Oryctolagus cuniculus: one gene and its partners. The protein of the gene in region 3 purifies or fractionates together with the protein of the main gene of each other region. This does not show direct contact. Links are inferred from orthologs where the notes say so. Each region holds a gene or a part of one and is shown on either strand. Other genes may lie near its edges.

Region 1 (3,500 bases), on a different chromosome or scaffold from region 3:
CTCGGTCACCTGAGGAGTCGTGGCCCGAGTGCTCGTGGGTCTTCTCCCAGGTGCCGCCCTCCTCCTTCCAGATGATGACTTTCCGGTCGTAGGAGCAAGATGCCAGGATGTTGCCATACATGGGGTGGGCCCAGGCCACCTGCCACACAGGACCCTCGTGCCTGCAAGGGGAGGGGACAGAGGCTGCTGCCATGTGGTCAACGACCCAGGTGCCCCGGCCGGGCGTCTCCTTGGGCGGAGATGAGTGACTTCCTGGGCAGGGAGAGCCGACGGCTGCCTGAGCACTTCCACGCGAGAGCCGTGGAGCGTCACTGCCCTCGGGATGCCCTGTGGACGGCAGGACCCCGAGGCCACGCGGCCCTGCGCGGAGTGAGGACTCTGGAAGTGTCCGTGGCCGGCCAGGCAGGGATCTCACCTGCACCAGATCTGCAGCCAGGGCAGCTCCGCTGACTGCGGCACGGGCGTCAATCCCCCAGCAGGTGCGCCTGGGGCTCAGGGGCACCGCAAGGCGGAGCCACCATTCGCCCGCCTTCCCCGTCACCTTGCCGAGGCGGCACTGTCCACCTGGGTGTTCGCGACGGGCACCGCAAGGCGGAGCCACCATTCGCCCGCCTTCCCCGTCACCTTGCCGAGGCGGCACTGTCTACCTGGGTGTTCGCGACGGCCTTCACCTGCTGTCACGCCCCCTGCTGGCTCTGACTCAGGCCAGGGTCACAGGCGCTCTGTGGCTTTACCTCTACCTGGAACGCAGGCGTCCGGAAGGCTCCCTCACAGCTAGGCTGGGGGTTCAGTGTCCGTGCTCGCTCAGGGACAGAGCCGAGAGGACGAGCAGAAGGAAAACCACTGACCACGAGCCAGCAGCGCTCCCCTCCGGGGACGACGGCTCACTCCCGTCCCACGCAGCGCTGACCGAGGCAGTCAAGGACGGGGGTGTGAAGTTTGTCACCGTCTAGCGCCTAACATTCTCAGAGCATAAGAAACTCATGTGGGAGCCGGCACTGTGGCGCAGCGGGTTAAGCTGCTGCCTGCAACGCTGGCGTCCCACGTGGGCACTGGTTCAAGGCCAGGCTGCTCCGCTTCTGACCCAGCTCCCTGGTATGGTACCTGGGAGGGCAGTGGAGGACGGCCCAAGTGCTTGGGCCCCTGCACTCTCACAGGGAGACCAGGAGAAGCTCCTGGCTGCTGGCTTCTGCCTGGCCCATCTCCAGCCCTTGCGGGCCAGCTGGGGAGTGAACCAGCGGATGGAAGGTCTCTCTCTCTGTCTCTCTGCCTGTGCAATTTTGACTTTCAAATAAATAACCTTAAAAAAAAAACAAACTCCCGAAACCTGCAGTGCTGTGCAAGGCAGCACCCTGGGGGGGGGGGGGGGGGGCAACCACAAACATGGGCCAGGGCTTCCGAGAGGAGTGACGTGGTGCGTGTGAACGGCCCTGGACCCCTGCGCAGGCCGACAGGCAGAGCCATGGCCATCCCAACGTTGCCGCCTGCACGGCCCCTGCAGTGCCGCTCCCGAGTGACACGTCGGTCGCCCTGGCTACGCCTGCACACAGCAGTACAGCTTCCACCTGTCAAGGCGGGGCAGTGGCCCCTGAAGGCGGGGCCCACCTGAGGGGGCACACCAGGGCTGAGAGGTCACACCTCGCCAGCCCCGGGTTTTCCTGAGAAGAGCCCCGCAGAGCCGCTGCCTGGCCCACCTGTTGTGTGCTGGGGGCAGCCGGGCGTCCTCACTGCTGAGCACACTTCGGGGTGCCTGGAACCCGGGCTTTCACTTCCTCCCCTGCCTGTGCCCTGGCGGCGCCCGCCCCCTGGGCACTCACCCTCTGAGGTCAGCGACGAGGATCTGCCCTCCGTTGCGCACATCGAAGATCTTGACGGACCTGTCGGAGGAGCAGGTGGCCAGGCGGGTGCCGTAGTAGTCCATCTGTGCGTCGTGCTGCAAAGGGAGACGGGGAATTCTGGGGGCCTGCGGGGGCGGGGCAGTGCGCACACAGGGGCGGGGCTAGCGTGGATCACGGTCTACCCACTTGGGACCGGCACCTCAGGCGGGAAGCCGGCAAGGCGGCCTCCTCACTGCTCTGCGAGGCCGCAGCCAGCTGGGCTCACAGACCCTTTGGGCTCCTTCCTCCATCTGGGCCCTGGGTCCCGCACGGGTCTTTGTCCCTGGGTTCCCTCACGCTTGTCCTTTTCCCAAGGAGCGGGCCAGTTACTCAGACACTGGCACCACCCTCGGATGCCCACAAACCACCCAGATCCAGGCCTGGCCCTGCCCACGGTTCTGAGTTCATCTGCGGCACCGCGAGTGGCACCTGCTGCAGAGGCCACTGGGAAGGCTCAAGGAGCCGCTGGATGACGAGCGCTTAGCACGGGCCTGGCGCACAGCGAGCAAGTTCCTCACTGCCGCTCTGCTCACCTGCTCCTCAGACCACACCGTGCAAGCGGGGCACAGCGGCGGTCTCCCCCCGAAGAAATGGAGGCCTGCTAGCTAAGCCGCTGCCTAGGGAGCCTCAGACCCCCGCCCCTGGTACCATGTGGCCGACAGCTGAACCACTCCTGAGGGAGTTCAGGCGACCTGAGCAACCCAAAGCGGCGGCAGGTGACAGGCCGTGAGGGCAGCAACGCAGGCAGGAGACGCTGTCCGTGGCCCAGGGACCCAGGACCAGGTCTCGCTCCCAGGCTGCCGCACGGCGGGGCCAGAGTATTCCTCCTGCTGTGGACTTTAGCCCCGGGCCTTCTCCTGCGCCCTGCCTCGGGCCACGCCCTGCATGAGGACTCCTGTCTGCTCTGCTGTCCCACAGCAGTCCTCTCGGGCTCCGCCTTTGCCAGTGGGGCCAGGCTGCAGTGGCAGGAGGAAGACAGAGGGGAGACCAGCGGCAGCCGGAGGACCGAGGGCCTGAAGCTACCATCGGTCCCCAGAAAAGGGGAGCCCGCACGACCAGGGCCCTGCCAGCTCACAGGGCACTGCCGGGAGGCGGACCAGCCACCGCCGCTGAACCACCCATCGGGGAGGGCGACGAAGAACTCAAGCGCTTCCTCTCACAGAAACGGGCCCGCGGCCGCCGGCGAGTACTCACAATCATGTCCTCGTGCGAGGTGTCCACGGTGTTGATGACGGACACCTACGACCAAAGACAGGCAGTCCATTACCCAGCCGTCACCGCGCCCCTCGCCGCGTCTGCGCCCCTCGCCCAGGACAATCGCTCCAACGACCTTCTTTGAGCCAACACGAGCGGCCTTGCCCTTGAGAAACGTGCACAAAAGTCACCCTGACACGGCAGTCAGCTCTTCCCGCGGGGGCTTCCGGGTGCGCAGGAGCCGGCGGGGCTCAGCCGCTGAGGAGGGACTGGCCGGGTGGCACGGGGAGAGAGCAGGCTGGGGAGGGGTCTCAGAGCACGGATGGGGCCAGACGGGGCTCGGGGCTGGGGGCCGCCCAGCCACCGCTGCCCTCCTGGGTGACAGAGCACGGGGCGCCCCGCAGTTGCTGATGAACAAAGCGCTGACCC
Region 2 (3,500 bases), on a different chromosome or scaffold from region 3:
TGCTGTTTCGATTTTTCTCAGTAACATGTTGTTACATAATTTTTGTGAATATTTCATAGGTTACTTATTTTTTCTACTATGAAACACTCAGATTATTATCTAACTCTCTATTTTAATAGTTTGTAAACAGCTTTATACGTCCAGTCTTTTTCCTGTGGATATTTTTAATACTCAAAAATAAGGTTAAGTTGCTACAGAAACTTAAAGTTTTCAATATTTTTTTTTAAATTCTGTTCTAAAAGTAAATTTGCTAGGGGAGAATTAAAAAAAAACAGACATATGAGGTGACTGCAGTTCTCCAAAGAGCCCCCATATAGCACCTACCTCGGGGGGCCCCTGGAATGAGTAGGAGTAGAGGATGGGCTGGATCATGATGAGAGACTGCGTCAGATCCTGCCGCGCAAAGTGGTGCCTGTAATACGACGACTCATCGGGGCTGTTGTTAAACACCTGGAGGAACGGCGATCTTCTGAGGTGGAACATGAACTGCAAACACAAAGCGAGAGGCAAAGGCACAAAGCTGCAACCCTGCCGCGGTTCGGCAGAGGCGGCCCACCTCAGCACCGACACAGCAGAGCCCCAACTTCAGGAGAAAGGTCTCTACGTTCACATAAACAGGAAGCAGAAAGCGGTGCCTGGGGTCGGGGGAGAGGGCAATGAAGAGTTCTGTTGAATGGGTTGAGAATTTTGGTTTTCTTGGGGCCAGCGCTGTGGCACAGCATAAAACTGTCACCTGCAGTGCCGGCATCCCACATGGGTGCCGGTTCATGTCCCGGCTGCTCCACTTCTGATCCCACTCTCTGCTGTGGCCTGGGAAAGCAGCAGAAGATGGCTTAAATCCTTGGGCCATGTGGGAGACCCAGAAGAAGCTCCTGGCTTCAGATCAGCACAGCTCCGGCTATTGTGGCCAACTGGGGGAGTGAACCAGCAGACTGAAAATCTGTCTCTCTCTGCCTCTCCTTCTCTGTGTAACTCTGACTTTCAAATAAATAAATAAACCTTTAAAAAAAAAGAAAAAGAAAAAGAGAATTTCGGTTTCCCAAGATGTGACCCCCTGGGATCTGCTGGGTAACAACGTGAATAAACTTAACACTACCCAAATGGTTAACGTTTCTGGGTGCATTTTAAAGTTACATGTTTTTGACTATGATTTAAACAATGTTTAAAGGTCCTCGGGATATGGCAGAGCTTCCACGTGAAAGGGAAAAGGTCAAGAAACACTTAATTTCCAGAGCATCTGGTCTGTGCAGACAGAATATCTGCTCTCTGAGAAGTCAGGTCCCATGGGGAAAAAGCCCCCTGGGGCATCCTCACATCACCAGCCACAGCACTGAAAGTACTACAGCAGGTGGGGGTGGTGACGGGCCAGCCCACTACCCAGAGCTGTGGAGTTGAAGATAGATCCTGAAAGACATGAATGGGATGGCTGGAGGTCAGAGAGAGGGGACTGCAGGCCTAGGAAGGGCAGATGAGAGCTCAGGGCGCAAGCTAGTCCTTGGGGCTGCAGTGACAGGCACAGGGGAGAGACAATGCTGGGGAGGTCATGGTCCTCACCCCAAGAATTACAGGGGGCTGGGGGGCAGACTTTTCGCTCAGTGTGTAGAGCTGCCAGCATGTGACAGTGAGCTGCCTTGAGAAGTACAAAGCTTCTTGAGGCTCAGAATTAAACCACAGGCTACTAAAGACTAATGTGCCTGACATTCAGTAGATTCTACGTGCAAGGCACGACGTGCTTGCCAAGAATCATTGAATCCTTCCAATAAACCCACGAGTTCTCCTTATTTACAGCTGAGGAAACTGAGGCAGACAGGTGTGACCAATTTGCCCCAGGTCACTGCACTATGCAGTGGCAGCGAGGGACTCTCCTCCAGGCCACTGGCTCTAGAGACTGGGCTCCTGACGTCTATCCTAGAATGCCTTGACAGAGACTCCTTAGGAAAACCTCATCTGCTGGTTTTCCAACTGCTCTTCAAGAATCTCAGTGAAGCGAATGCTAAGGGCACTGCTTGGGGGAGCCACTGGGTGGGTGGGGTGCATGGGCACAGAGTGGCATCCAGTCCCTCTACTTTACGTGCTAGCTTTTGAGGAGGGCCCCTTGGAGAAAGGACTGCAAATCACTTCTCCAGACCAACTCCTCCCTTCTAAACTGAAATCCACAGGGGTTGGGACCTCACCTGTGATAGCAGTGGTGGGGCGAGAGCTGAAACTCTGCTCTGATCTTCACAAACTCCACCTGGCCTCCACCTGCCGGGCACAGACCCCGGCAAGTCCCAGGCTCCTGCTGTCATCTGGCTCACACGAAGCACTGAACAGGTGGCTGGCACCGCACCAGGTTTCAGTACTTGATGGAGCCCTCAAAGCCAGCCACAGAGCTCAGCTCTAGCTCACTCACAGACAAAGGCGGAAGTCTGGGAAACGTGGAAACCTAGGTCCATGAGAGCAGCTTCCTGCTCCATCCACTTCTCTCCTCTCTTCCCTTGCCCAGGGGCAGCCATGTGCTTCGTTTCAGCCTTTTGTAGTTACTTTCAGAGCTGCTAACTACCGATGCCTAAATAGGACGCAGCTGGATAACCACAGACTCACTGCGAAACGCTTGTCATGTTATGTTAATAACCTGTCATACTAACTGTGTTTTCGTTCTGTTAAATCATCTTGCCCTCACTTTGCTGGTTTGCTGCTGAGGGAACTAACTTCTGCAAATTAGAGATCTGGTTGTGGCCTACTGCCAAAGACCCTGCTTCGCCTTCTCAGGACACTAGATGCACTTGTTTTCTCCTGACTGTTCTTGCTGTCTTCTGTAGGGCCTGGGGTCGTGCCTCACACACACAACCTGGTCTTCAGTTAATAAAACTCCTACAGCTCCTCATAGAGGTTGGAAATGGAACACACTCTTCACTTTACTGCAATGGTTACTCTGCAGGAATTCTTAAAAATGTGTATTACTTACCTGAGGATATAGAGAGAAGGAATCTGATAACCTGAAAGAAGAGGGATCTTCTTTGTTATACTGTCCAAACTTCTGACACTGTGGAAAGGAAACATATTATTAAAAACAAACAAACAAAAAACTAAGATAGTGTCAGGTGTTAAAATGCAGTCGTCTTCTTTTTTTTTTTTTTTAAAGATTTATTTATTTGAAAGAGTTACAGAGAGAGAGAGACAGACAGATAGAGAGATGTCTTCCATAAACTGGTTCACTCCCCAAATGGCCTCAACAGCTGGAGCTGAGCTGATCTGGAGCAAGAGCCAGGAGCTTCTTCTGGGTCTCTCAGGTGGGTGCAGGGGCCCAAGGACTTGGGCCATCCTCTGCTGCTTTCACAGGTGCATTAGCAGAAAGTTGAATCAGACAGCAGAGCAGCTGGGACTCAAACCGGTGCCCATATGGGAAGCTGGCGCTGTAGGCCTTTAACCCGCTGTGCCACAGTGCCGACCTCTATGTTCCAGTCTTAACTCTGCCACCTACTGAGTCTAGACTAGTGTCTCTCAGGCATCAAGAGGCA
Region 3 (3,500 bases):
GTGCGGAGCTCACGTCACGACGTGACTGCTGTGTTCCCAAGAGTCAGCTATACAGAAGTCACGCTGTCCTCGGCGACGCCTACGAGGCCCCGCCCCCGCCCGGCTCCTTCCACGGGGATTACGGGTATGGCCCCTACGGCGGCGGCGGCAGCAGCTTCCCGGAGTACAGCTGGCCCGCCATGGAGCAAGGTGTGTGCTTGGTGGGGACGAGGGCCGGGTCGGCGTCTGGCCGGCGTCGTGCTGGCCGTGCGGGCAGCGCTCGGGGGGCAGGGCGGCCGGGCGATGGCCGGGCGATGGCCGCTGGGCTCCAGGTCTCGGAGCCCCCGGCCCGGCCGCGCCTGCAGGCTCTTGGGTGCTGCCCTGCCGTGGGTGCAGGGGGCGTCTCCACCCTGCAGAGCCGCGCTCTGTTTTTTTGTTTTGCGGGAGGTGTTGTGCCTGGGCCGGGTGGGCCCTGGAGCCAAGGCGGAGACGGCGGGGGCGGGGCGAGAGGGGCGGGGCGGGGCCAGGCTGCTGTACTGCAAAACTGCGCAGGGTCCTTTCTGGTGTGTTTGTGTAGAGACTTATTCTTTATTTTTGAAAATGTTTATTTGAAAGAGTTACACAGAGAAAGAAGGAGAGGCAGATACAGAGGGAGAGAGAGAGAGAGAGAGAGAGAGAGAGGTAGGTCGGTCTTCCATCCACTGGTTCACTCCCCAACTGGCTGCAATGGCCGGAGCTGCGCCCATCCAAAGCCAGGAGCCAGGAGCTTCTTCAGGTCTCCCACGCGGTGCTGGTTCGAGTCCCGGCTGCCCCACTTCCAATCCAGCTCTCTGCTGTGGCCTGGGAAAGCAATGGAAGATGGCCCAAGTCCTTGGGCCCCTGCATCTGCATGGGAGACCTGGAAGAAACTTTTGGCTCCTGGCTTCGGATCGGTGCAGCTCCGGCCATTGTGGCCATCTGAAGAATGAACCAGCGGATGGAAGACCTCTCTCTCTGTCTCTGTCTCTCTCTGTAACTCTTTCAAATGAATAAATCTTTAAAAAAATAAAAATAAAAAAAAAATATGTGGAGCAGCCGGGACTTGAACTGGTGCCCGTGTGGGATGCCAGCACTGGAAGCAGAGGCTTTACCCACTATGCGTGGTCGCTCGGCCCCGCCTCTGGGTTCCTCGTGGGTTGACAGCTTCCGTCTTTCTCTGACGTGGGCTGCAGTGCTGCTGGTCAGCAGGGTGTGTGACACCTGGAGACTCGGCCTTGAAGGCCGGCTTGTCCGCCGTGCCCTGGCACCCCAGGTGGCTGCTGTCGCTCTGGGCGGGAACAAGCGGCGCCTGTCTCTGTCGGTCCCGATGCAGCTCCATCGCGACCGGGCTCTCCCGAAAAGTTCCCGGTGCCTCACCTCTGCGCCAGGTTCGGTCCCGGCGGTCAGCTCATCAGAGTGATGCCAAACCTGCCCTCGGAGGGGCAGCCGGCACTCGTGGAGATCCACAGCATGGAGGTGAGGCCCGAGCAGGGCGGCCCGCGGCATGGCCGGCCCTGTGCCCTGTCCCCTGTGCCCCTGTCCCCTGTGCCCCTGTCCCCTGTGCCCCTGTCCCTGTGCCCCTGTCCCTGTGCCCCTGTCCCCCGTGCCCTGTCCCCTGTGCCCCGTGCCCTGTCCCCTGTGCCCCGTGCCCCTGTGCCCTGTGCCCTGTCCCCCGTGCCCCTGTCCCCGTACCCTGTCCCCGTGCCCTGTCCCCCGTGCCCCTGTGCCCCGTGCCCTGTGCCCCGTCCCCTGTGCCCTGTGCCCCGTGCCCCTGTCCCCCATGCCCCTGTCCCCTGTGCCCTGTACCCTGTCCCCCGTGCCCCTGTGACCTGTGCCCCTGTCCCCCATGCCCCTGTCCCCTGTGCCCTGTACCCTGTCCCCCGTGCCCCTGTGACCTGTGCCCCTGTCCCCCGTGCCCTGTGCCCCTGTCCCCTGTGCCCCGTCCCCCGTGCCCCTGTCCCCCGTGCCCCGTGCCCTGTGCCCCGTGCCCTGTCCCCCATGCCCCGTGCCCTGTCCCCCGTGCCCCTGTCCCCCGTGCCCCTGTGCCATGCCCCGTCCCCCGTGCCCCTGTCCCCTGTGCCCCGTGCCCTATGACCCGTGCCCCTGTCCCCCATGCCCCTGTCCCCCATGCCCCGTGCCCTGTCCCATGCCTGTCCCGTGCCCTGTCCCCTGTCCCCGTCCCGTGCCTCCTCGAGTCGTCCTCTCTGATGTGCAGTGTGGGGCTCTCCGGTTCTTCTTCCTTTTGGTTGTGGTTTTTTCCTCCCAGAAATCAAGGTTTTAAGCATGTGTTTTGGGTTCAGATTGGTTTTTTTTCTTTTTTCTTTTTCTTTCTTTCTTTTTTTTTTTTTTTTTTGACAGGCAGAGTGGACAGTGAGAGAGAGAGACAGAGAGAAAGGTCTTCCCTTGCCGTTGGTTCACCCTCCAATGGCCGCCGCGGCTGGCACGCTGTGGCCGGCGCATCGCGCTGATCCGAAGCCAGGAGCCAGGTGCTTCTCCTGGTCTCCCATGGGGTGCAGGGCCCAAGGACTTGGGCCATCCTCCACTGCACTCCCTGGCCACAGCAGAGAGCTGGCCTGGAAGAGGGGCAACCGGGACAGAATCCGGCGCCCCAACCGGGACTAGAACCCGGGGTGCCAGTGCCGCAGGCGGAGGATTAGCCTAGTGAGCCGCGGCGCCAGCCCAGATTTGGTTTTAATGTAGATTTATTCACCTGAAGGAGGACGAGTGAGCTTTCCACCACGAGTTCGTCCCCCGGTGCCTGCACACAGGCCGGCCGCTGCCAGGCGCTCCATCGGGAACTCGGGGCTGAGTGTGGGAGCACGGAGCCCGGGACACTGGCCGGCGTGGCCTGGCCGGCGTTTGCAGGGAGCTGCGTGGGAGCGCGAGCAGCTGAGGGGGCAGGCACTTGGCTGTGGGCGCTGAGCCCGCCCCGCGTGCCCGTGGGTGACTCTCTCCTCTTTACTGTGTTTTTGCTAAGGTGTTTCACTGTTGTGCTTTCTACTTTAATAGATTTATTTATGTGGAAGGCAAAGCGATAGAGGAGACACAGCTGTTGCATGTGCTGGTTCCTCCCCAAATGGTCACAACAGCCAGGGCTGGGCCAGGCCCGGGCCAGGGGCCAGCAGCTCCGGGCCTGATCTCCCACGTGGGTGACAGGTACCATCTGCTGCCGCCTTCCCAGGCACATAAGCAGGAAGCTGGAGCCGAAGTGGAGCAGCCGGGACGCACCCCGAGCCCCAGGCGGTGGCTTAACCCGCTGCACCACAGCTCGGCCCTCATCTTCTGTAGCTGTTTGAGAGGCAAAGAGACCGAGGTCTGGCTGCTGGCTCACTCCCTGCACGCCCACAATGGCCGGGGCTGGGCCAGGGCCGGGCCGGGAGCCAGGAGCCCCAGCCCGGTCTCCCGTGTGGGTGGCAGAAACCCAGGTAGTTGAGCGGTCAGCTGTTCCCTCCCAGGGTGGAATCGAGGGTGGAGCCAGGACCACCAGGCCCCCGCCAGTGGCC

Evidence for each region. Proteins that work in one complex are often made in the same cells at the same time.
Region 1: the proteins of SEC16A (region 3) and SEC13 purify together in Homo sapiens (co-immunoprecipitation; 4 studies listed by BioGRID and IntAct, counting the BioPlex papers as one, with this or other methods). This does not show direct contact. The link is inferred for Oryctolagus cuniculus from reciprocal best matches to the Homo sapiens genes SEC16A and SEC13.
Region 2: the proteins of SEC16A (region 3) and SEC23B purify together in Homo sapiens (affinity purification with mass spectrometry; 3 studies listed by BioGRID and IntAct, with this or other methods). This does not show direct contact. The link is inferred for Oryctolagus cuniculus from reciprocal best matches to the Homo sapiens genes SEC16A and SEC23B.

What each region holds. Positions count from the first base shown.
Region 1 is NC_091441.1:116,549,339-116,552,838, reverse strand, and holds part of SEC13 (protein SEC13 homolog), read right to left. Parts: intron 3,117-3,500; coding exon 3,072-3,116; intron 1,934-3,071; coding exon 1,818-1,933; intron 1,555-1,817; exon of another isoform or gene 648-1,554; intron 565-647; exon of another isoform or gene 194-564; coding exon of another isoform or gene 162-193; coding exon 10-161; intron 1-9. UniProt on the Homo sapiens protein: Functions as a component of the nuclear pore complex (NPC) and the COPII coat. At the endoplasmic reticulum, SEC13 is involved in the biogenesis of COPII-coated vesicles.
Region 2 is NC_091442.1:43,327,358-43,330,857, reverse strand, and holds part of SEC23B (protein transport protein Sec23B), read right to left. Parts: intron 3,026-3,500; coding exon 2,948-3,025; intron 487-2,947; coding exon 325-486; intron 1-324. UniProt on the Homo sapiens protein: Component of the coat protein complex II (COPII) which promotes the formation of transport vesicles from the endoplasmic reticulum (ER).
Region 3 is NC_091432.1:236,612,214-236,615,713, forward strand, and holds part of SEC16A (protein transport protein Sec16A), read left to right. Parts: intron 1-41; coding exon 42-189; intron 190-1,330; coding exon 1,331-1,473; intron 1,474-3,500. UniProt on the Homo sapiens protein: Acts as a molecular scaffold that plays a key role in the organization of the endoplasmic reticulum exit sites (ERES), also known as transitional endoplasmic reticulum (tER).